7 linked regions of the Coturnix japonica genome follow. The protein of the gene in region 2 interacts with the protein of the main gene of each other region in a biochemical or structural test. Links are inferred from orthologs where the notes say so. Each region holds a gene or a part of one and is shown on either strand. Other genes may lie near its edges. The genes, in order: HTRA1, RPS6KA1, PDZRN3, MAGI2, SNTA1, PDZRN4 and SLC9A3R2.

Region 1 (3,500 bases), on a different chromosome or scaffold from region 2:
TTCATAGAACCATAGAATTGCTCAAGTTGGAAAAGACTCTGAAGATCATCAAGTCTAACCACAATTCCGTCCAATTTCTCTGAATCACCTACTGATACGAAAAGTATTCTAAATGTTTTGGAAAACCAAAAGCTCTTCCCAGCAATATGACTCCTGGATAAGCTCTCACATGTAAGAGCATTCCATGCCAAAGGAGGATTTCACCCCAAACAGAGGTGCACCAGCACAGCCAGTAGATTTCCCATTAGCAAGCACTGACGTGCTGGGGCCAGGACAGAAAAAGGCTCAGGATTGAAAGAGCAAACTATCCAACCACAACTTTTAAATGGCAGGTTACTAGAGCTGCAGTTGTTTTGCAAGTCAAGTAGAAAAAAGTTGCCAAGTTTCCAATACAGAGCCTCTGAGAAGCTCCTATTCCCCTTCTAGGGCTGACAGAGCTCCTGCACAGCCACCTGGTTTTGCACCCTGCTTTGCTGTTCTCCTCTAAGCTCGTCCACAGCTGCTGTAAGGAAGCTGACTGCTTCCTACAGAACCAGCATACAAAGCTTAAGGAGCTCATAAACACATGGGGTTTCCTACCCTGTGAACGTGCTTCAAAATAAAAGGAGGGCACACATTTCTGAACCATTAAACTGAGCTTCAGTTTGCAAGAAACTGAATTTTCAGCTGCATGGTAAACACCAAGTGCAAACACCTCGCATTAAAAATGAACTTCTTACTTTTCTTGCAAAGCACAGGCAAATTATTTGGGCATTACAAGTAGCCCAAACTATGCAAAGTGTAAACACCTACATATTGAAATCGTGGCGTAGTTTGTGATTTGACAACAAAAACACAGACAAGTGATTAGTAAGAGCCATGTGAATTTTGTGTAGCCGGGCAAACACTGAAAGCTCTGAATCACACTTGCGGTGCTCTTGTTTTTGTTTTTAGACCAGAAAGTAACAGGCTTCACACTAAGCAAACAAAGAATCTCTTACCAGGTTTACTAAGGGTCCTCCAGAGTTTCCATACTGCAAACAAACATGGGAAAAGCAGGTTTTAATATCCACACTTAACTCATAATGAGCAAAATGTTCAAGGGATTTTTGAAATGTTTCTGTAGCAGTTTTTCCATTATCTATTAAAGATACACAGTGAAACACTTACGACTCCAAACCGTTACTTAACACGCACTTAACATCCCTCCTTTTTTTGCATTTCAATTCTCCTTCTCTTGCCAGAGTAACCTAAGTAAACTGGGACTTCTCATTGGTTTTAATAGTAGCAGACTGGCAGCATAGAAGACTGTAATACGGCTTCGGAGCTGCAAGCAAACATCCCTCACAAGGCCAACAGTAGACAAAAGCTATTGTTCTGCCTTAATGCTGAAACAAACTTGAGTTCTTAAGCTGAGCGTGGCTTCTTTCTAGAAAGCATGACAGATTTTGAGGAGAAACTCATTCAGCAGAGAATGCCTCCTCCTCCCTTACAGGCTGTAAGAAGCTGAAGGGAAGGCAACCATTGAACTTGGTGTGGTCCCTTTGGGGGTTTGGTTTAATAACAATCAGGCACTGCTGCACCGCAGATGTCCATATTTGCGAGGATGAAAGAAAAGCCAGCTATGCTCACTGTTCTTAAGAACCGCATTACTGGAGGAGCTTTCAAAGCAACTATTCCAGAAATCTGAGAGCCCAAAGAGCCAAGGCTCAAGGCAGGACATACATTGATGATGGCGTCCGTCTGAATGTAGTCCATATCGGAGTTGCGGAGCCCCAGCTCCTTTCCTCCGCGCTGCGTGGTGCTAACAATCCCTGTCGTCACCGTGTTTTGAAGGGAAAATGGACTTCCAATGGCAACCACAAACTCTCCCGGCCTCAAGTCTCCAGACTGACCAAGCAGAAGGACTGGCAATTTACCCTACAAATGGAAGGAGATTAAGAAAAGAAGAAAAATTCATACACCATTAGGACATTACTATGCAGGTCAAAGAGAAATAACTGTTCTTTAATGGAGTAGAAGAAAAAAAAAAAACACTTGAAGAGTGCTTTTTCCACAACAGGTCCCCATTCAAACCAAATGGTCCCCATTAAAAACAAATGAAGACCAAAGGAATATTTGTGTATTGCTGTACAAAGCAAACATTTGGCGATACCAGGAAGGAGCTGTTCCCAACAGCTTCTTGAAGTAATTAGCCAACAGCTGTTGATGTAAAAATAATATATTCCTTAAGAGTGAATTCTAGAGGGAGTCATGAAAGCAACAGCCAGGGCGTATCAAACAAACATGCATGTAGTTAAAAGCATTTCATATTCCCATAAGACATGAACTAACGTTTCATCTATTGTTCAGTAGACAACTAGATTACCTCCCACGTATCTAGGTGTCTTGTGAAGATGTGAGGATTTAAAGACTTCCTAGTATTTTCTTTTTATGACAGTAAGGGATGCCATTATTCTTTCCTTTCAAGATCTTATCTTGAAACATGAACTATCACATAATTAAAGACTTTCCCCTCCGAGACAGAAAACATTCCTAAATCCAGCATCAACACAGAGCGCTGCAATTTACAGCAATTAAAAAAGAAGGAAACAAAAAAGCAACGGCTGAACCTAACACCCCTATCAATGCAGTGGATAAACTGAGCATCGTTTCTCCAGGACATCTGAAGAGGTTGGGCAGCAGATGGTTCAAACAAGACCAGTAAGTCCCCTGAGAGCAGTGAGCAGATAGTGGCAGCGAAGTTCCCCTGCTCACTGAGTAATTAAGGGCATTCTGAAACAGTCTGTATATCAAAGAAATGTTCTGCACTGATGCATCATCCACCTGCACAACATGCCTTGGGTTTGCTTCATGTTTTTAAAAGCCAAGTCTTCACTGTTTCAACGGTGTTACATATTTTTAACTGTTTCATGTTTAACCTGCTGTCTAAATGATCCTGACTACCACGACACCAGATCATTATCATTACTACCAGTGGATTAGGACATGCATCATTTGAGGCTTCAGTTTAAGCATCTTGCAGGATTTGAGAGGTACATGACCTCCAGATGAAAACAGAAGTCTCCCAGGACAGATCATTTGCTTGGTAGATTTAAATTATAAGATAGGTTTCCTCTATGCCCATCCAGCTGAAAAAATCCTTTCCTTTGCACAACAAGCTCAGCCTCCAAAATACAAGGCATTAATACAAACTTCCAAAATAGGTGACTGCTCCTAGATGCAGTAAATGCCCCACATATGGATTAACCCAAACCCAGTTTCCAAGAAGTGGGTAACTTCTAATATAAAAGGGATATCTTCAAGATATTCCTCAGCTTTGTCCCTAAAATGAAGGTACAAATTGGCTTAATAGTTATTCTTGTTGCCATTTATGTCTTCTTGGAAGCCAGCAGAAGTGCCTTTTTAGCCTGTATTTATTCCAAAACATGCAACTTACAGGCCTAAAAAGTGTAGGGGATTGTAAAAGCAGACAGTGTGCTTACAGAGCAAAAAGGCAAGGCAGCATTTAGTATGTCCTG
Region 2 (3,500 bases):
AAATCGTTTCATCTCAACTCACGAGTTTTTTTTTTTTTTTTTTTTTCTTTCTGATTCTCTCCCCTATCTCACTGGGAAAGGGGCCAGTGAGCAACAGATTGTGTGGTGCACAGCCACCTGCTGGGATAAATCACAACCACCATCCAGTTCCAACCCCTGCTGTGGGCTGCTTGCCCCCCACCCAGTCAGGCTGCCCAGGGCCCCATCCAGCCTGGCCTTGGGCACTTCTGGGGATGGAGAACCCACAGCTCTTCTAAGCAGCCTGTGCCAGTGCACTGCAGACATACTGTGCTATATCCATTCCTTGTCATTTGCCCCAAAATTGTATATTTAAGTCCCACAGTCAGGGAAAACAATTTCATTCCTTGTTATTATTTTGGTCATTACAGGGATGAACAGAAATCTAACAAGGGAGGTCAGACTGAATATCTCAGACCTTGACTGCATACTCCATGTTGGTTGTTTTGTGAATGCACCGTTTGCACACTGAGTAGGAGCCCACACCAATCGCCTCCTTCACCACGTAGCCATCACTGAACTGGATGTTCTTGCCATGCAGCTGCTGCAAGAAGAGAGCAGGGAGCGAATGAGCTGGGAGGGTTCAGGGAATGGTTTGTGCAACGAGTTAACTGCAACACCAAGTGAAGTGATAGACTGCTGTCTGCTACATCCCACATCCTCTCCTCCCTCCTGGGGAGACAGAGGAGAGGAGAACACGGCAAATATAGGTCAGTAGGCTAACACAATCTGCATCCAGCACACTGCATTCCTGCAGCACCTCTCATTCACATAGCCTGAGTCCACCTGGCAAGAAGGAGGCAAACACTCAGTGTGCTCTGCTGACCTCTGCATGACAGTCAGTAAGAGCAAAAGAAATCAGGATGCAAGAATTCGAACCAGAATATCTTTCCTTTAACTCCTGAAGACCCACTCTGGAGTTACTGCAGTCTCAAAGCAGATGTTCTTCCATCCCCATGTCTCACCTGCACCACGGAATGCAGGGGGGGCTGTGCAGGTTTCACCTTGCTGTCTTCCATCAGACCGGTGGCCACAAAGCTGAATCCGCGGAAGAGCTGATGTGCACCTGCACTGGGAGGGATGCCTGGGGAATCTGCAACAGGAGTTGAAGGAAAACTTGAAAAGGAGCAGCAGCGGAAGCAGAAGCCTTCCCCTCATGGCTGTGCTCAGACAAGAGCAATATGATGCAGCACCAAGCTACCAGTAACACCCTGTGTATGGCTGGGACTCCTCCCTAAAGTAGCCAGGAGGAGGCAAACCTTTACCCTGATGGCAAAGGCAAGGCAGGATTAAGCTGTACTATTTCACACAGGCTTCAGCTGAATTCATAAATTCATACCAACCTTTTGGTGTACGCGATGTAAATTCTGTATCAAAATAAAAGGTGTCATCAGGCTGACCTACAGCAGGCTTGAAGGGTGGCTTGATTTCCCTTCGGTACAGCTTCTGCAAAATACAGGTAGTATATGGAAGTCCTGGAATAGCTGAATGTGCTCAGAAGCGTGCAAATAGCTGCTAGGAATGAGAGGCTGGGAAGAAAATTTACAACACTAGAAACAGTGTTGTGACTGCAGTTCAGCAGTGGGAGGGATGGCCTCCTGGCCAAGAGAGCGCCTTTCAGTCCGTTTGTGGAGAAATTCTTTAGGTTTCTACCACCTATCATATATTAATCAAGAAAAAAAGTAAATAAATAAAAAAAAAGTTCTATGTATAATGCAGGGAAATGTAGGTTCAGCTATTGCCCTGCTTCTCTGCAGGGTACAATGCAGCTGTTTACCTGAGCCCTTCCTACTCTGTGCAAGGCAATCCTTGCGCCAAACCTCAATTAAAACCTGCACCTTAGTTCTGAGAGCTCAAACCAGGGTGAGGTCACCAGCAACTCAGTATGAAACAGTATCTTGCATGACTAACAGCAGTTTGGTTTCGGGAAGGACAATTAGGAAAGATGGAAACATGGGTTGGTAGCACTCCCTCAGCTGGTCAGACTGCAGGTGGCACCACTGAGGTCAGCAGAGCTGCATCACTGTGCTGAATGGGGTGAAAATTGCTTTTGCGTTTCTGATACTCACATTCCAGTCAATAGTAGAGTAGAACGGATGACGCTTTATCTCTTCTGCCCCATCTGGACCAGAACCTGAAAGATCCACCCGCAGACTGCTTAACATTTAATCAGGATCAGCAACAAAGCGAAGGCTATCACCAAGCATGCAACATAACCATGTATTATGGAGAACCTATTAACTTAGCACAAGTGCCAGCATGCTGCCAACCCACTGTGATGTGAGAGGCACAGCTACAGCATCAGGTGGATTCAGAAACAAAAAATGCCTTACCTAATCTGTTGGCTGGGTTCCTTTTGAAAAGGGCTCGAAGGAGGCTCTGTGCCTCAGCGCTCAGGAACTGAGGCATGCCCAGTTTTGCTCTAGGGAAGAAGTTATGCAATCAGCTGCAGGTATAAAGAAGCCAACCCACAAGCAGCACCTCCACCCCTGAAACAACAATCTGTTTGGCATTTTGTACTGCAGCCTTCAAACTGAGTGTTGATACAAAGCTACCTGCCAAGTAATGGCATTATGTTGTGAGAACCCCAACTGCAGCATGCTTAGAGAAAGAGCAGCACGCTTGTCTCTATACACACATGAAATCTCCTCTTACTTAAGGATGAGGGTCATCGTCTCCTTGCGGTCCTTCCCCTGGAACGGCAGCGAGCCAGTGAGCATCTCAAACTGAGACAAAGAGACAACAAGGGGAGGTCACATATATAAACAAGTCTGAGGGCTGCACAGATCTCATTACACCTTCATCTGGGAATTCTCCACAGCTGGCAGAAGCCTTGCAAGTGATCAAAAGCCTGGCTCTGGAAAAAGAGAGCAGGCATTACATTCTCAGAAGGGAGCTGTATATCACATTGTGTAGTGGGGATATGTTCCAGCAGTGTCTGCTCCTGCCACAGCCCTTGGATCCAGCAGCTGCCAGATGGTGGCACCAGATCTGCACAGCAACCAACAGCCTGCTCCAGGGCTGACACTGGCACCAGCACATCTGCTGGATGCAGAGTCACCAAATGGCATTTCATAGCTAACCCCTGAGCAGATGCTGAGGTTTCCAAGCCCACCAGTTGGTACCTACCATCAACACCCCATAGGACCACCAGTCCGCACTGTGGGAGTGGCCCTGACGGTTCACAACCTCTGGGGCCATATATTCCACTGTCCCGCAGAAGGAGTAGGCTTTCTTCTCATGGTCTATCGCTTCCTTACTCAAGCCAAAATCTACGAAAGAGAAAAACCATCAGCATGGTCTAAAAAACCACCTGGTCTTCACAATGGCCTTGAGCAGAGAGGTCTGAGAGAAGTTCCATGTTTCAAGAACCAAGGTTTTTATGGAGCACCTCACCTGTGAGTTTGATGTGTCCTTCTTCATCCAGGAGGATGCTACAGCAAGGAAGAAGAAAACAAGTCATTAGTGGCAAGAAAGGCTGG
Region 3 (2,378 bases), on a different chromosome or scaffold from region 2:
AGAGGGGATGAAGAATCTTGGAGCTATTAATAATGAGTCTAGTTTGCTATTTCTCCAGAAAAAAAATCAAGTTTATTTCTGAATTCTTGTTTAGAAACAGAAAACAAGAAAAGGAGTGAAGTATCTCTTTGAAATTCACTTTTTGTCCTTTGTCCTTTTCTCAATCTCCTTTAACTTACAAATTTGTCTGTTTTTAATGGAAAGCTTTGCTAAAGTTTGTAGGTTAGTCACCATTACGATACTGTGAAACAAAACAGAAGAGTAGAAATCCTATCTTTTCTTTATGCTTACAAGTAATCCTGAACACCTTGTGAAGTAAACACTTTTACTCTTCATATTCCTGCTTCTCTCTTGCCTCTTCCCTCCATATCACCTCAGTGCTGACTTCCCTCAAGGTCAGGATGCCGTCCTTCCTATTAGGCTCGACTCCCACACGTGGGAGCTGTGCTCTAGGACAGGATGCTCAGCATGGCACAACAGTAAGGGAGTTAAAAATAAAATTAAAATGTTTGAAATATAAAACAATAATTTATTTTACTTCATTTTACTTGTTAACATTTGCAGCTAGTGATGATTTAATGAAACCGCTTTTATAATTCAATACATTCAAATCTATAAAGCAAACAGTAACTACCATGGGCTTTTCAAATTCCACAAACTGTCTTATATAAACAAATCAGCTGTACATGCACGTTTTCTTCAAGAGGTTGCAATGTTTGCAAACATGCTTTAAAATCTTTAAAGCCGCAGTACACTTCTCTTTGCTTCAGGCTTTTCAGATGAAACCTATATGCTTTCTTTATAAACCTTAGAACAATATTTAAATGTTGATGGTAACTAAAAACTGCAGTTTGATAAATGTTAAATCTTACAAGAGAATGGCTCTATTAGGAATTCAGTAACTCTGAGTTTAAACCTTGAGCTAAATATAGATAAACAGCACTCAGTGTAGAAGTGAACAACAGCAGAATAGTATCAGAAAATATGGTTTCACAAAAAAATACGTATGTGCGGTTGCTCTTGTGGGGTTTTGCATTTTTTTTTTTAGACAAAGAAGAGCACGGGTACCTTTTTATATGAATATAGTTTAAGCAAATTACCTGTGTAAATATGGTTAATACATTTCTGATATTTAAACACTTTATGTAAAAGGTAACAAGTAAAAAAGTACAATCAGTATCCAAAAAGCACTGCTAATATTGCCTCTGAAGGAGCTGGGGTGGGCAAACAGTCTCTCCATTTTTATAATGGAGATCCTGGCACCCGCAGTCGTAGAGTTCAGTATTTGAACTATAAACTCGATGACTGTATCTTATATACAAAAATCTTGCCACATTGAACGAGGCATTGATTCCTACCCCAATGGTAGCGTTCTATGTACATAATTTAGCAATGGTGATTATACAGTAGTCACTGACAGGAAGGAATTGTACACTCGTGTTCCATCTGGTGACTTTGTTCCATGGGTAAGCAGTTCCTGGATTGTCATCCAGTTGTCAAATATTTTTTTATTCCTTTTCTTCATCATTTTTTTGTGGCTCAGTTCAATGATATTCACCTCTTTCTTTTCTTCTGCACCTTGCTGTTCCTTTAAACAATCCAGCCTGCTCTGCATCATAAACTCACGTCGCCTCCTCTGCTCCTTGGCTCGCACCAAGTGCTGCTTCCGCTCCTCTTTGCTCCAGTAGCGGCCCATCTTCATTTCACTTATGGCATCATCATCAGTAGTCATCCCACTGCGTTCTTCCTTAATCTTTATGGCTCGTTCTCTCAGCAATCTGTCCCTGACTGGCCTCTTGGTGATGTAGCGGGTTCCATCGCTTCGGACCTTCACTTTCCACTCCATCCTCGGCTCACTCTGACTTGCACTGAAGTCTTTGCACATACTCACCAGGCTCATTTGGCTCTGTGCATACTCCACTGCTGATTTTTGTTGGATCAGCTGCATGTAGCTCTGATAGTGCTGTGCGTGAGCAGGAATATGAGCATGCTTATATGGAGAGTGGTGGTATGGGGAGACATAAGAGCCAGAAGGTTTCTGACCATGAGTAGGGCTTTTGCTTCCATCACTGGCTTTTCTCTCCTTGCATTCCATCTGTTTGCTCGTCTCAGGATCTTTAGCAGATGAATGGCATTTACCTGTGCTGGATTCATGACTTTCTGAGCTGGAAAACAAATTCTTTTGGGAGACATTATATGCCACTGCTCCCTCATTACCTTGACAGTTGATGCCTTCTGCAGTTCTGCGCAAGGAATTGTCAGGAGAAATCTCAAGTGTGAGCGGAGTGCTTCGGCAGCTTTCACCTGTGTTGTATGCACTTGAGCTATCCTTGTCAGACTTCTCTGGGAGCTCTGTAATGTCTGAGAGCTCATGCCTG
Region 4 (3,500 bases), on a different chromosome or scaffold from region 2:
CACTGTTTTTTTCAGATTTCATTGTTTGCTTTCTTTATACATAAAAATAAGATACCAGGACATGCATCTACACTACAGAAGCATTGTCCAAAATCAGATTCAATAAATTAATGGCAAATTATATTGGAATTATATTCGATTCTAGTTCAGGGGATAAAGATTTGTTGGGGTTTTTCTTTTTCTGTTGTTTTTTTTTCTTTTTTTTTTTCTTTTTTCACTAAATAGTCATTTTATAAACAGCTACGTGGACTTGTGCTTTTCAGAAATTATACACAGAATTTCTTTTTCCCCAAAAGAAAAGAAAGAAAAAGAAAGAAAGAAAAAAAAAAAAGAAGAATTCTTTGAAAGCTGCAAAATCCTTTACTTGAGGCGTTTCAGATAATTGGACAGGAAGAAACATGCCTATAGATTTCTCAGTCCAGTGCGATGTTTGAGACATACAGCTATGTGCTGATTCCTTGGAACAAAGACAATCTCAATCTAACGTTTCAGCAGAGCGCATGAGGAACTAAGATTGCTCAAGAACAATCATTTTGGAATACGAACTGTTGACTGCATCATTGTTGTTTTTAATCACCAATGTGTTATTGCCCAGGATTTTGTATTTGTTTATTTTTTTTTCAATTCTGACAGACAAAGAAGCATATGCACACTCATAGGTACACACATGTATCTTTTTGAACCAAGAGAGTGACTGACTGACTGAACTTAGACTTATCTCCTGTGAAGGCAGACTGGAATGTTTACCTGGCACTTAAGGCTTGAAATTCAAAACAGACAAGCAAGAAAGACTAAAATCAAAAGAAAAAAAAAAAAAAAAGAAGAAGAAAAAAGAAAAAAAATGGAGGTAAGGAAGAAATGATAAAATGTAAACCATTTTAAAAATGGAAATATATCGAATTTACTAATTGAGGGCACCAAAAAGTGTATTTCCATTTAATAATTGTTACGTGCCTCAAAGACACCTACTCTGCCTAAGTGAGGGAATGGAAGATGAGAGCATCCTAACGAAATGGGGGTGGGTATGGAACATAGCACTGTTGATGAGTGAAACTCATTTCCTGCAGAATGGGAAGGCCTTTCCTTAAGGAAACTGCAGCTTTTTCTCTGTAGCAATCTTCCATACATTGCAAGGGCCTCGGGGATGTTGAAATTTTGAGCCTGGCCAACTGGCTTGTGTGCTACTGTGCAGGATTTGGGGAACGTGTAGTAAATTGCTTTGGAGAATAATTTGCAAATACAACTCCACCCTAACTCCTTTCCAATGTACAGAAACATGGTTGGTTCACAAAAATGGCAGTAGAGATGGTATCACAGAAACTAATCCACTAGATTCCCAACTCCTCCTGTAGCATCCAGCGAACTGTGCTACAGGGTATCACGTGGACTATCCCAAAGCGGTGACAGTGGAGACGTGTCATGGGCGTACAGTTCCAAATGCTTCAAAGAAACCCTTTAACCCCTGTCTAGATATGTCAAGAACAATTTATTTACAACATTTTAGCTCCATGAAAAGATTCTCTCTCAGTTTCAGCTTGCTCCGTGCAGTTTTATTTAAGGCGATGTTCCAGTTTGCGATTGCTCTAACTTGTTCCAGTTTCTTGATATAAAGTTTGAATGAAATCCAAGTCCTTCATGCAGTGGAAAAAAATGCTAAAGCTACACTGCACTATCCTTCTCTGATGTACTGTCCTTCATATTGTTTTGGTTTCTTCCATAGCTGCCAAAGTCCCTAAAATGGAACTGGGACTTTAGGGTCAATTTCAAATCTCCGTGTTGACTATATGCTTTTGAACTTATTAGATACTGTGCACATTGTCATGGAGTTACAGACTAATGTTTTCATCCCTCAATGCTTTGTGTATATGTGTGATAGTTAAAATAAATTAAAATAAATCAACGTGAGACAACAACTAAGAAGAATGTTCTGCGTCAATTTGAGACAGTTAGAGGGCAACAGTCCCGTGCTTATCTGCTCATGGCAGAAGTGCCAGACTTCAGGACGCCAGGTAGCTTATCTGAGCCGGGGATTTTCCACGGTCCCGGGGAGACCGTTGCCTTTCGAACTGTAGTGTTGGTGCTGCGAGTGCTAATGGGGTGGAGATGTCCCTTCCTGGGGAACTCACTGGGTTTCCCATCAGGATCCCTCTGGCTGTGATCCATATCGCTTCCAGGCGAGCTGCAGCGATTGCTACTGTATGTCTTGGTAGCACCTGCATCAAGCTTGGCATGGTCAGGTGCTGCAGCTGACTTCTTCTCACTGGTATTTGTGGATCTGTGATCTTCTTTTTTGCTAAGAGATCCTCCCCTCTTGCTTTCCGGCTTCTTCAGCCTCCCAAACTGTTCATCACTGCTTCCAGCACACATGTGCTCTCTCACGCCAGCCTCCATCATAACGCTGTGTCCCACCGCTCTGCTTTCCGAGGTGAGCCTGCCACCATCTGTCACCTTAGTTTTGCCTTCTGAATATCCTTTCCAAGAAGGCTCGTCGTGCTTTGACCTGTCTGCCTTTTTAGGACTTGCTGACCTTTCTCTTTGCTCTCCTACCCTTTTCTTTTTGTGGCCGTTCACCGAAAGCTCCTTTGGTTTCCTTCCATCGTGTTCCCTCTTGATATCCCATGTTGGTTCTGGGCATATCTGGTGAGAAGGGTCAGAGGGTGGGGCTATGTGTGATGAGGATAATGGTGAGATTATGTCGTCGAGGGACAGAGCTACTTCCGGCAGACCTGGGGAGGCGGCAGCGGGAGCGCTCCAGGAGCTTGGCTCGTCTGTGATGGCAACAGAGAGAAGGCGTCAGGGTGTGCTCAGCATGTCATGCACATCACACACAAAGCAACATGAACACCCGAATCACGCTTGAGAATCAGACTCCTCAGTCTTTCAGGGGAAGTGAGACTCCCAGTGAGGTCAATGGGGAGGGAACTCTTTACTCAGAGGGCAATGAGGCCCTGGCGCAGCTGCCCAGAGAGCTGTGGGTGCCCATCTCTGGAGGTGCTCAAGGCCAGGTGGGATGCGACCCAGGGCAGCCTCAGATGGGGGGCTGGAACTGTGGGGGGCTTTAACAACTGTTCCAACCCAAGCTGTTCTATGATTCTATGAAAATAAAACAGTCCCACTCTCCCCCAAATAAATAAAAAGCCCAGGAGAAAGTAAAAACCACGGGGCTGGTACTGCACACACTGAAAACCTCGGTCTTTTTTTATATAGGTTCTGCTTTTCTCTGCCTACGTTAAATTATTCTTAAAATAATAACGATGCGCTCATGAAATCAAATTGCCTCTTTTCTAGCTGTATAATGTATTTCTTTGCTGGGCAATATCAGTGCTGTCTCCGAGGACAAATGAGAAAGACTTTCTGCCATCTATAAACATGTCCCCACAAGCATATACTAATTGACAAGAATTTGTAGCTCAGATAAGGTCATCATTGAATTCTGTCTCATATTTTTTCTAAATAGATATAATATTGCAGTGTTTATGGCCCCACAATTCTTGCAGGGT
Region 5 (4,087 bases), on a different chromosome or scaffold from region 2:
TCACGGACAGGATGGCATCTCCCACATACAGTGCCTCGGTCTGGTCTGCTGCCAGTCCCTTGAAGATCTTGGAGATGAGGATGGGCATCTTGTTCTCCCGGCCACCTGCGGGCAGAAGGGGCACCAAGCAGTGAGGGGACACTGAGCAATTAGGGGCACAGGGCTGCTCAGTGCCCACACAGTGCCCAAATACCTCAGAGCTTTATGGCAGACACATGTTAAGTGCTTCAAAAAACCATCCGAGTGGCTGCAGATTTCCTTGCTGAACAAACACACGCCCTGACCGCCTCCCCATCACTTCTGGCAGGAAACTGTGTCACTATTTGCATTATTAACTGTGTGTGCTGAGCAGCCTTCCCTGCTCTCAGGACCCCACGGTCTCAGTGGGGCAGCAGCTGAGTGCTGGAGAGGCAAAAGAGCCCCAGAGCAGCAGCTCAGCCGCAGGACTACCTGCTCCCCACTCCTCTCTGTCTCCATTCGGGCTGCTCCCCACTCTTCAGCCCACCAGGACACTCTCAAGGCCTCCGGGCAGCTCAAGGAGATCAATTTGCACTTTAAGTTCTGAACCTGTAGGAGATGCCAGCAGCCCCGCCTGGCGCTGCCCACGCTCAGCGCTGGGACAGCGTGTGCCGGGCACCCCCTCACTCCCCCCTACCCCCCTCCCACGGGCAGGGACCGGCAGCGTGACACCTCCCAGGGCTGCACCCGCTGTGCCGCCAGCATTGCTCCGCTCGGATTTCTGCAGAGCCTCTCCGGGAGCTGAGGGCTCCTCCGGCTATCAGCTGTCAAGAGGCCCCCGCGGGGGCTGCTGCTGGCTGCCGAGCCCAGCTTGGAAGCAACGCCTCGCAACCACCCATTCTGGGCTGTGTGCGTGGAGAGGGAACCACCGCCCGGAGCACCATGCGGTACACGACCCTGCAGGAGAAGGATCCTAACCCTAACCCTAACGATGCTAACCCTAACCCTGCAGGGCTGCATGAAGCACCAGAAACCCCAAGTGAAGTACTGTCTGGGGTTAGGATGCAGCTGAAATGCTTTAACCAGAAGGTCCATTTTAGATTCTGTCCCACGGGCCATGGACAGGAGCTGGCTGGCAGCGGGGTACCCGTCCCTCCATGCCCCCACCCCCTGCAGGGACAGCAAGGTTTGGCTGCGTTTAATGGCACATGGTCACCCCCCTGCAAAGCAGCAGAGGCACAAGGCAGCCCAAGTGCTGCCCGCCCGCCTGCAGCTCCCCGTTTGGATCACGGCTCCTTGGTTTCCACCTACGTCACTGCAAAAATAAAGTTTAGCTGAAGCAAGTAACGTTTCTCCTTTCCTGGGAGAGCCGCAGAGCCGGCAGCGCTTCGCAGCCCGGGGTTGGTTACAAGGGGGGATTGCACCTCCCAAAAGCGCTGCCGAGCTGCAGCACCCACAGCCCCAACAAGCGGTGAGGGCTCACCCCGGACCCCTCACGGGGACCCGCACCCGACACACCGCCCCACCCAGCAGCGCCCGGCAAGGAGCGCGGTGAAGGCTGAGCCCAATGCGGCCACGTCAGACAGCGGCAGCCCCCCGCACCCCCCCTCGCGAAGTTCCCGGCCCGAAGTTCCCGCAAAGTCCCCAGGACGGGGGTGGGGGCGGCGGGGGACACCGGGGGACACCCGACCGGGGCAGAGCGCTGCGTTTGGGGCGGCCAGGAGGGGACACCGCACCGGGGTCACGCAGGACGCAAGGACACGCGGGCGGAGCCCTCCGGTCGCAGCAGGGCAGCGTAGGTCCTACCTGCCGCCGCCGCCGCCCACTCCTGGTACTCCCCCCCCCTCACCTTTGATGCTGATGCCGAGCCCCCCCACGTCCTGTTTGACGACGCGCACCGTGCGCCTGATGTTGGCGAGCGCCTCGGGCACGCCGGAGCTCTGCTCCCCTCCGTTCAGCTGAGCCGGCGGAGGCTCCCCGGGCCCGGGGCCGTCGGCGGGGCTGACGCTCAGGGTGTCATCGCTCAGGGTGAGCAGGACGCGAAGCCACTGTCCGCCGGGACCGCGCAGCTCCAGCAGCCCGCTGCGCGCCCCTCGCCTGCCCGCCGCCATCTTCCGCGCATGCCGGGCCCGGCCCCGCCGCTCCGGCAGCTCCGCTCCGCGCTGCCCCGCGCACCGCCCGGCGGAGCAACGAGCCCCGCGCACCGCCCCCGGCCCGGCCCACGCCCGCCCCGTCGGGGCAGCGCCGCGCTGCGGGGCTCCGTGCCCGAGTATGGGACGGGGAGCGCCGGGAGGGGCATGGGGAGCTCTGCACACCCTCACTCGGACCCTCCCGGCTCCGGGCACCGCGGTGCGGTTGTGTCACAGGGGGACCCTGCGGGGCACGTCGGGGCGCAGCGGTGTCCGTGCCGAGAACCGGGTGCCACGAAAGCTTCGGGCGTGCTGCGGGGTACACGAGTAACTGCTGTCGTGGAAGCGAGCAGCGCTGTCAGGCAGAGCCAGAAGTGACTCGAAGCGAACTCTGGACTTATTAAGGAAAACTGCGATGATGAAAAGCAATGGCAGCTCTTGGGGGCGGTGGGGGGCAGCCTCAAGAGCTCTCCCACTGGCGTCCGACGACGTCGGTGCCCCAAAGATGGGTGCAGACAGCAGCAGGGAGGATTTTTGGAGGCATTCAGAACAGTCTTGCTTTTTTTCTTTCCTTTCCCTGTCCTGCTTCTTGAAAACAGGAACGGTGTTTGTTTCCTTTGGCAGATCCGCATTTCCTCCTGCAACCGAGTGGCAGCAATGAGGGATAAAAAATACCTCTGGGTACATCCCCTGTGCCCCTTCGGGCAGCTCCAGAGCCCTGGGGTGGGGCTGCAGGTCCCCAAGCCCCAGGCTCTGCAAACGCAGCCTTAAAGGAATTGAATCCCGTTCACGCACAAGGGGAGGTGGGGGGGGTATTGCAGAGCAGGGGGCTGCAGCCCTCCCCACCCCCACACGGAGGCAGCAGCGCTCCCCCCACGCAGAGGCAGCTGTGGAATTTCTTGAGATTGCGGCAGAGGAAACCCTGAAGGTTTTTCCCTTGCAAAGCACAGCTCAGATATTCCAGTTTTCAATCCAAATTCTGCAGTTCGATTGGAGTGACTTTTTGGGTTTGCCTAACAGTGATGCTCCCACGCCCATCACACCCCCCCCTCCCCCCCCCCAGTCCTCTGTGCATCCCACAGACCCTGAGCTGCTGTGCCCATAGCAGAGGGGGTTCAGTCCTTTTGCTGCCAGTTGGGGTCACTTTGCCCCTTGCCACTCGCAGTCTTTTTTCTTTCCAATGCTATTTCCAGCACAGGTGATTATTAAGGCTGTATTCTCATTGTAAGCCACGTCAGAAAGCAGAGACACTGCTCCCAGTGCCACAGGATGGCACCATCCAGGGATATGTGATATGTTTGCTTCCCCAGCCCTGGCAGCACTATGCAAAGCAGCAGTGGGAAGCAGAGCAGTGCCACACAGGGGGAAACCTTGTGCCATGCCACACTGCTGGGCAGCAAGGCCATGTGTGCAGCCCCACATCATGGCACAGAGGTGCTGCAGTGCCCGTGGGATGGTGATATCTTCACTGTGATTCTGTCACAAGGCTGAGCCCATCCCATCCTCCCCCTGCAGAACATCCCCGCTCCCGGACGTGGTGGGTGAGCTGCTATTATTAGCTTCAGCTCTTGGCACACACAGGAGCTGTGTCAAAGCCCACCCGTCTATTTATAGAGCGCTGTTAGCTGCGTGAATTTACATGAATCACTTCTGAAACAGAAGAAAAGCTCGTGTTTGGGTCTGAAGTGGCATCCCCAAGGCTGACAGCAGCACCTCAGGAGAGCATGGGGCAGCAGGTCCTGCCTTGCTGAAACAGATCAGAGGCTGCAAATGCACTGGAGAGGATGGGCAGGGAAATAAAAGAGATTCAGATGTGCACCATGTACTTAACCGAGTGATTCATCCCCTGGTATACAGGAAATGTAGTGAAATGGTGTTGTCTGCCCAAACTGTGCAGTCTCCGACTCCTCCAGTTGACTTTAAAATGTTTTGCTTTGGGACACAGTCACTCCTGGCCGAGTTTCTCCCTTCTCAGTCTGGGTTCTGCTCTCTGGATCCCC
Region 6 (3,500 bases), on a different chromosome or scaffold from region 2:
CTTTTTATCATAATGATTCACTTCAGAAAGCCAGGCGGTAGGAGTCTGCTTCTCAAAAAAGGAAGAAGAAAAAGAAAGATAAAAAATGGGACTCTCATGCCTTTTATCCTTTCTTGAAACAGTATGACTGATTTTCTTTCATAATGAAGGAGACTGCACAGCACAGACATTTTTTCTTTTCAAAAGGTATGAAAGGCACAGTGCATAATCCTGAAGCTGTCATGTTCATTACCGCTGAGAGCCCCAGCGCTGATAGAGCGGCATCATTACTAATAGGGCCACAAGACAGCCGGGTTCTTTCTCTCAACAGCCTCCACCCCAGTGCTGTACCATAGTGCTGCACTCTCAATAACAGCCTTGCATTGCATTTCTACAGCAATTTCTCCATTGATCTTCAAGGAAAACATACATAGAGAAGATGGCAATAGGCAGATGTGGCAACTGGAAGGGTAGTTATATTTGTCCTTACAGTGTGCCTGGAAACAACCCTTATCTGTCTGTGTTTTCCCTAAGTGTAATTCTTTGACATTTGATGACAATCTTGCAAAAGGATAGGAGGGAATGTTGCATTCTTCATCTAGTCAGTATACCCTCTCTCCACATCTAATTAGCCCCCTTAACAGCTTTCTACACTAACAAAACCAGCATCCCTGCTCTAAAATTCTTATCTTCCCATTTTGCTCACTGTGCTTATGTGTATATGGCGTGTGTCCATTTGTATTTGTAATCCCTCACCAGATGGTGCACTGCACTGAAAGGGAAAATACCAGTCAGTGACACTCTTGTAAAGGCTGTGATGGTGGGAAAAAAGCAGAAGGCAATATTTATTGTTTTGTCACTGGTGAAAGAACTGGAGGAGGACTGTGACAAAAGGGCGACAAATTCCTAAGCACCAGACAGTGACAACAATACCAACTATTCATGTTTCAAGGCAGCCAGATCAGTGCAACACAGGCCACAGCAGAAATGCTACCACTGCATCAAAGCACACTTAACCAAATCAGCAAGTGGTAGTTCAAAACTACACTGAGAGTGATTAGCGCTGTGTGGTACTTACACCTGAATGCTGGTCAGGTATCACTGTTTCTTTCAAAAAGTCTAATATGCTTTTGACAAACATAAACTTTCTGAAGTTTTTCTTGGCAAAGTCAGCTTTCAACAGCCCGAAATTAGAATGAAGGAGGTTTTTATTTTTTTCATTGGAGTGGGGGGCATGTAATTTTTATATTTGTCCTTAATGAGACTTAGAAACCATTCTATGAAACATCTAGTATTGACTACTAGTTTTCTTTACTGTTCTTACTTGCTTTTTCTACCAAGGAAAGCAGGAACACAGTCCTTCTCTAGTATGAAGAATGCAGCTTAATTTATCACATTTGAGGAAACTGTAAAGATAACAAAATCTGGAGGATGAAAGATGGATCTCACTTGGGTAAATCTGCTGCTTTGATCATGGCAGACCGCAAATTTAACTTAATGCGAATCCTTAAGATACACTTTTAGCACAAAGATCATTTCTACTTTAGCATACATGGGTACTACATTCATTCTGCGCCCTAAACACATGTGAATTAATTGCTCATGCTCTTTCTTTCAATATTGAACAGGTTAGGTGCCTCCTTGGTGATATGCATCAAAACTTAATTATCCATCAGTATTCACCAGACAAATAAATGGCCAAAAAAGGTTTTCTTCCCTGTGGCCCAGTGAATGTACTTAGCAGTCAGTCTTCAAGACTGCAATACTGACAATACTTATTTCTATCTGAAAATAAGAGCCTGCTTAATCCTGCTATCTTTTACCAGAGTCAAAGCAAAACAGCTAGCTGAAATAGGTTTGCAGCAGCCTGACATCTGATATACTATGGCTGTTTCTTCTGTTTTACATAAATATGTACTCAGAATGTAAAAATTAAACTAAAAAGAAACAACAGCAATGAAAACAAACAAACAAACAAACAGCAAAGAACCAAAGAACACTGTGTCCTGTGACATGGAAGATATGGAAGGAGCATCAGTACAGGAAGCAATAATGTTATGAGAAAGTAATTCCTTACGTCATATCAATATAATTTTTCTAATATTCACCAGTCTAAACAAATACAGAGAACAGACTTTCCCTGAGTATATGCTTTATTAGTTGGTAGGTTTCTGTTCCCTACAGAACAACAAAATTTGAGTGAAAAAGCAAAAAAAAAAAAAAAAAAAGTTTAAAAAACTCTTTAAAACCTCAGCAACTTCCAATGTGAGCTAAAATTTCGCAATATACACTACTGTTTTTTGCTGTACACTATGTCATCATCTTTATGGGAATTGCTTAGATTGATGAAAAATATAAAGAAAATAAATCCTGAAATTGTGAATCTTATGTAACTACTGGATTGAAGTAGAGATTCCAAGTGGCACTGAATTACACTTACTCAATTTAATTTAAACAGAGTATGCAGCTAGCAAAACTGAGAAATATCAGATCAATGGCATGAGAGACAAATGGCAACATAACCAACTTTGTTTGAACTGCTGACAGATGGAGAGAACAGTGGCAATATAATGTCTCTTTTGCTTTGCAGTGGCTTAAAAACAGCATATAAAGGCAAGTACAAACAGTACTCTTCTTCCACTCTACCTCTCCTTTAGTTTGATGATCAATTTAACACCTCCCCCTGCCATGATATAAAATATTCTTGGCATGGCAAAATTTTATTCTTAGCACCACTGAAACATTATTAAAAGCTTTTGAAAAAGCACCTCCTGAGATACAATTTGTAATGTACCAGCATTTTTTTGTGACCAGGGTACTTTGAAAACAATTAGATCCAGAGCTGCTGAATGGTACTGTAGCGAAATTTCCATAACTGGTACATAAATGAACAGTTGTTTACAAGTGCGTAGAAAAAAGAGCCATCACCAGTGAAAAACTACAGCTTTGAGTAAGCTCGTATAAACGACTAAGATAAGCATGGGAAGTTTATCCCCAGAGCAACTAAGAATCATCAAACAAGCAATATATGGTTTTCAAGTTCTACTTCATATTTTACTAATATCATGTTAGTCCTGTCAGCTTTATTTGTATACCTGCTTATTTTGTCTGCTGAAAAAAAAACTGCTTAGCTTGGGGCAAAGAAGCCCTGGCAACATCACATTATTTCCTCTGTTGGCTATAAAGGGCCAAAGCTCTGCAACTATCTTTTTCCTCCTTTTGTTAGGAACTTTGGCATTCCTCCTTCCCAGCAGTTCATTACTTATGGTGACAGTGAATGTACAGGATAACCCAGGTTATCCTGTATTTACTCTAACCTGCAGTTCTGGCCTTGCAACCAGCAACACAATTTTCTTGCATTCATCACTGGAGAGCAATGCCACTGCCTCTTCGCGATTCTGGACATCTTGCCCATTAATCTAGAAAACAAATGAAAGTGGCACATTAGTTTCTATTTCCACAAAGCAACACACAATAAAGGGCAAATATCAGCTCATTTGTAGTGAATGTATGGACAATGA
Region 7 (3,500 bases), on a different chromosome or scaffold from region 2:
TCATGGCTCCCATGGATGGAATCTATCTGGAACAGCTCTGTCCTGAGCTCTCCCCAAGGCAAAGCCCCTATGGGTCACTATGTCCTGTTTGGGACCTGCATTGGCTGGATACCAGCATGGGTTCTGGCACCACCAGCCTCAAATACAGCAGTTGCTCCATGCACTTACCCTCACCAACCCCACAGCCCCTCTGCAGGGGGGTTCAAGCACTCCCTCCCACTGCACCCCCCTGCCTTCTCAGTTCTCCCTGTCCCACCCTCTCCTTGGAGGAGCCGAAACCCAAAGGCCGGAAGGGACCAGCCCGTTCTCCGCGCCCAACTTCCCGTCAGCACAAACTGTTGGATTTCACCCAGCAAAAGGAACAGAGACAGGATAGGAAACCCCCAGCCTGGGAAGCCATGCACGGCTGTTTGCACTGCAGCCCCCCTCTCTCCAGTTTCTTTCTCCTGTCCCACCAGCCACCCTGGGAGGTTATGAGCAGCACAACACTGACCTCCATTGCCACCCAGAGCTCTCTGAACACCTTCATACCACAGCCCATCCTCCAGCACCCCCAGAAAGGGCAGCCCCCTGGACCAGCACAGCTCTGCCTGACACAAGCAACTCCATATGAGGGGGGGAGGGTCAGAGGCAGAACCCCATGCATAACTCTGCTTTCTGCCCTACACATTATCCCCATGCAGAAATTGCTTGAGCTGTTACCCCACAAGGGCTCCTGAGGACAACGAGTGCTAAAGCTGGATTTGGAAGCAGGGAAAGCCTTGCACAGCCTGGTTATAAGCAGCACCACGGGGCTGCAGGATTCACCCCCTCAGTGATTAAAGTGGGGACAGTCAGCTGCATGGTGGTGGCTGCCACGTTCACATCCCATGCATGGACAGTGCCGGGGCTGAGTGCTGCCTATCTGTGCGTGCAAGGCTGTGCCATCACCGCCCTCCCAGCAGAGAGCCAGCCATGGAAACTGGACATCTTCCACCTCAAATTCTTTCCTTGCTGAAAAGGAGTTTACCAATAAAAGGCGCTTACTGCAAAATCACAGCCCAGACTCAGACCACTTGAAAAAGAGCTTATTTCCTTCCTATTCCAGCAAAAGCTGAGAACACATTCAACCCAGCTGTTCCCTCCATCCTAGAAGTAACACAGAAGAAATGGACTGAGTTAAGGAGTCCAGCTCCACCACATCCACAGCCTGTGCTGCCTGTCCCCAAACAAGGGACAAGGACATCAGCCAGGGCAGCCTGGTTGTCCCCAGGGGGCTGGGTGCCCACCTCAGCTCTCTGTAGCTCCTCCAGGAGCAGCCAACACTGCTTCCAACAGAGCAAACAAGGCCTTGTGCAGCTCACCCACAGCTTTGGGACACACTGAGACGCCCAGAGCCACATACAGAAGGTTTGCTAACGGGAAGCACATTTGCAATGGGATGCATCCTGCTGTCCAACCCCACGCTGTGCCACCAGCTCTGCCCTCACCTTCCTGCTGCCGTGTGAGGAGAAGCTGTGTGAGTGCCGCTGCAGGCTGCCTGCGCTCAGCTCCAGCTGTGGTTTCCACACCTCCCCGTTGTCGCTGCCCACTGACTTGGAGGGTGAGATGTTGGAGCCCAGCAGGATCCCACTGTGTGCCATCTCCTCTGTGCATGTCAGGCGCAGGCTGCACAGGTACTCATCTGTCTCCTTGTCCACCACCAGCAGGCGGGTCTCTGTCTCCACTGCCTTGATACGCTGCACCACCTGCAAAGGAGAAGGAGAAGTAGTGAGCAGAAGCCCAGAGACTCCCCAGTTCTTGGAGAGCTGTATCTCCAGACCCCTCTGCCCATTGGTGCTCTCCTGCAGCTTCCATTTCACTGCACGGTGCACATTCATTACTGTTTCTATAGGCAACAGGGGAGGAGGGCAGAGATTTGGGATCCTTCAAGATAGCACAGCCTGCAGCCATGGGTGACAGTGACAATTCCTTCCAACACCACCTAAATGATGGATCTGCCCATGGCAGCTGCATACACACAGGTGGACATCATCCCCTCTGCTCCACTTGCAAGCCTGCTGTTCCATCACACAACACACATCCTGAATCCTGCTGCCTAGCTTCATCCCTCACAAGGGACATGCAGTTCTACCACATAAACAGCCCTGCAAACCCTCACCCCTTTACCTGAGACTTCTTTCTCCCCCCACACCCAGGGACAGAGCTGAGAACTCAAGGTGGAAAGCTGGGTTGCACCAAGAACCAGAGCACAAATGCAATGTCTCAACTGCCTTTGCTGCACTCTTCCCATTTGGACACTTTCCCCCCTCCCACCTCCCCCCTTCCCAAGCAGATTTATAAAAGCAACAATCTGATCCGTGCATTCATCCCCCTGCGTGACAGGACAGCAGAGATAAGGGAAACCAGCACCAGGAGATGAGCCCATCCCTGCTGGTCTCCAGCTCCAGGCATGGCTGAAAGGGACCATTGTCCTCACACAGCCTCACTTTTTCACGTTTTTTTGTGTGACTGCAGATCCTCTGAAAGGAGCTGGCGGTGTCAGCCCAGCAGGGAGGAAGGGGAGCACGGGGCAGCTCACACGTGGGAAAGTAGAGAGCTGTGCTCAGCTCTAGGGCAGTCAAGCAAGCACATGAGTCCAGCACAGCAGGGCAGGGTAGGAATAGGGAATAACTGTGGATATATGAGGGAAGAAGGCAGAAAAAGACTCCAGAACCCCCTGCCTGCAGCCTCAGGGTGGTATCCCACAGGGCATCACCTGCTGCCTGCACAGGCCCTCATTCCAAAGAGGAAGACAGTACCACTGGCAATGCAGCTCTACCACTCTCCCCAGCTGCAGGGGGACACTGCCAGCACTCATGGCCCTGTGACACCCTATGTGTGCTGGGGAAACCCTGAAGCAGCACAGGGTTCCTTACAGCTCCTGCCCTATCTAGGTCAGGCCAGCCAGATACTGCAACTGCCAAGGTTAGAAGTGACAAACGAGCCTAATGTGCAATTAGCCAGCGTTTATTTACTCCCCTGCAAGCTCCATTCAAGGTCAGCAGAGCCAGTATCTGCAAATGAAAAAAATAAAAAACCACCAAGACAAAATTTATAGATTGCAGACATGGCTGTGTGTGCCGAGCAAACCAACCCAGCAAGCACCAATGCCCACCACCCTGCACCAGGAGGGTTCCTACCCATAACCTGCCTGCAGGGTGCTGCTCCACCAAACCCTGGAAAACCCATCTGCTCCTTCTCAGATCCATTTCTGTGCAACACCAGGCGATGCCACTGACACTGTCAGAGCAGCACCTGTACCAGGGCACACCTCCAGAAGGGAACTGGGAACAGACAGCTGATGTGCAGGAACAGGGGTTGCAGGTGGGCAGCAATGTGGGGAAGCATGCAGGAAAAGCAATGGCAGAGTCCTGCACATCCCTCCCTCCTTCTCAGGCCCTACAGTTTGGGTCCCGCAGGCCCTATTGCAGCACAGTAGTTCTCACTACTGTCAAGGAGAAAAGTCACACAGATCCAAC

The links.
Region 1: the proteins of RPS6KA1 (region 2) and HTRA1 interact in a test that uses a peptide from one of them, tested with the Homo sapiens proteins (2 studies listed by BioGRID and IntAct, with this or other methods). The link is inferred for Coturnix japonica from reciprocal best matches to the Homo sapiens genes RPS6KA1 and HTRA1.
Region 3: the proteins of RPS6KA1 (region 2) and PDZRN3 interact in a test that uses a peptide from one of them, tested with the Homo sapiens proteins (2 studies listed by BioGRID and IntAct, with this or other methods). The link is inferred for Coturnix japonica from reciprocal best matches to the Homo sapiens genes RPS6KA1 and PDZRN3.
Region 4: the proteins of RPS6KA1 (region 2) and MAGI2 interact in a test that uses a peptide from one of them, tested with the Homo sapiens proteins (2 studies listed by BioGRID and IntAct, with this or other methods). The link is inferred for Coturnix japonica from reciprocal best matches to the Homo sapiens genes RPS6KA1 and MAGI2.
Region 5: the proteins of RPS6KA1 (region 2) and SNTA1 interact in a test that uses a peptide from one of them, tested with the Homo sapiens proteins (2 studies listed by BioGRID and IntAct, with this or other methods). The link is inferred for Coturnix japonica from reciprocal best matches to the Homo sapiens genes RPS6KA1 and SNTA1.
Region 6: the proteins of RPS6KA1 (region 2) and PDZRN4 interact in a test that uses a peptide from one of them, tested with the Homo sapiens proteins (2 studies listed by BioGRID and IntAct, with this or other methods). The link is inferred for Coturnix japonica from reciprocal best matches to the Homo sapiens genes RPS6KA1 and PDZRN4.
Region 7: the proteins of RPS6KA1 (region 2) and SLC9A3R2 interact in a test that uses a peptide from one of them, tested with the Homo sapiens proteins (2 studies listed by BioGRID and IntAct). The link is inferred for Coturnix japonica from reciprocal best matches to the Homo sapiens genes RPS6KA1 and NHERF2.

Annotation. Positions count from the first base shown.
Region 1 is NC_029521.1:27,879,462-27,882,961, reverse strand, and holds part of HTRA1 (serine protease HTRA1), read right to left. Parts: intron 1,900-3,500; coding exon 1,705-1,899; intron 1,014-1,704; coding exon 981-1,013; intron 1-980. UniProt on the Homo sapiens protein: Serine protease with a variety of targets, including extracellular matrix proteins such as fibronectin. HTRA1-generated fibronectin fragments further induce synovial cells to up-regulate MMP1 and MMP3 production.
Region 2 is NC_029538.1:149,007-152,506, forward strand, and holds part of RPS6KA1 (ribosomal protein S6 kinase alpha-1), read right to left. Parts: intron 3,453-3,500; coding exon 3,415-3,452; intron 3,291-3,414; coding exon 3,148-3,290; intron 2,745-3,147; coding exon 2,674-2,744; intron 2,441-2,673; coding exon 2,352-2,440; intron 2,153-2,351; coding exon 2,088-2,152; intron 1,465-2,087; coding exon 1,362-1,464; intron 1,112-1,361; coding exon 984-1,111; intron 563-983; coding exon 437-562; intron 1-436. UniProt on the Homo sapiens protein: Serine/threonine-protein kinase that acts downstream of ERK (MAPK1/ERK2 and MAPK3/ERK1) signaling and mediates mitogenic and stress-induced activation of the transcription factors CREB1, ETV1/ER81 and NR4A1/NUR77, regulates translation through RPS6 and EIF4B phosphorylation, and mediates cellular proliferation, survival, and differentiation by modulating mTOR signaling and repressing pro-apoptotic function of BAD and DAPK1.
Region 3 is NC_029527.1:14,007,657-14,010,034, forward strand, and holds the end of PDZRN3 (E3 ubiquitin-protein ligase PDZRN3), read right to left. Parts: coding exon 1,400-2,378; 3' UTR 501-1,399; downstream 1-500. UniProt on the Homo sapiens protein: E3 ubiquitin-protein ligase. Plays an important role in regulating the surface level of MUSK on myotubes. Mediates the ubiquitination of MUSK, promoting its endocytosis and lysosomal degradation. Might contribute to terminal myogenic differentiation.
Region 4 is NC_029516.1:11,182,834-11,186,333, reverse strand, and holds part of MAGI2 (membrane-associated guanylate kinase, WW and PDZ domain-containing protein 2), read right to left. Parts: intron 2,769-3,500; coding exon 1,969-2,768; 3' UTR 1-1,968. UniProt on the Homo sapiens protein: Seems to act as a scaffold molecule at synaptic junctions by assembling neurotransmitter receptors and cell adhesion proteins. Plays a role in nerve growth factor (NGF)-induced recruitment of RAPGEF2 to late endosomes and neurite outgrowth.
Region 5 is NC_029535.1:2,063,197-2,067,283, reverse strand, and holds the start of SNTA1 (alpha-1-syntrophin), read right to left. Parts: upstream 2,801-4,087; 5' UTR 2,070-2,800; coding exon 1,808-2,069; intron 106-1,807; coding exon 1-105. UniProt on the Homo sapiens protein: Adapter protein that binds to and probably organizes the subcellular localization of a variety of membrane proteins. May link various receptors to the actin cytoskeleton and the extracellular matrix via the dystrophin glycoprotein complex.
Region 6 is NC_029516.1:26,461,534-26,465,033, reverse strand, and holds part of PDZRN4 (PDZ domain-containing RING finger protein 4), read right to left. Parts: intron 3,399-3,500; coding exon 3,297-3,398; intron 1-3,296.
Region 7 is NC_029529.1:6,192,138-6,195,637, reverse strand, and holds part of SLC9A3R2 (Na(+)/H(+) exchange regulatory cofactor NHE-RF2), read right to left. Parts: intron 1,728-3,500; coding exon 1,470-1,727; intron 1-1,469.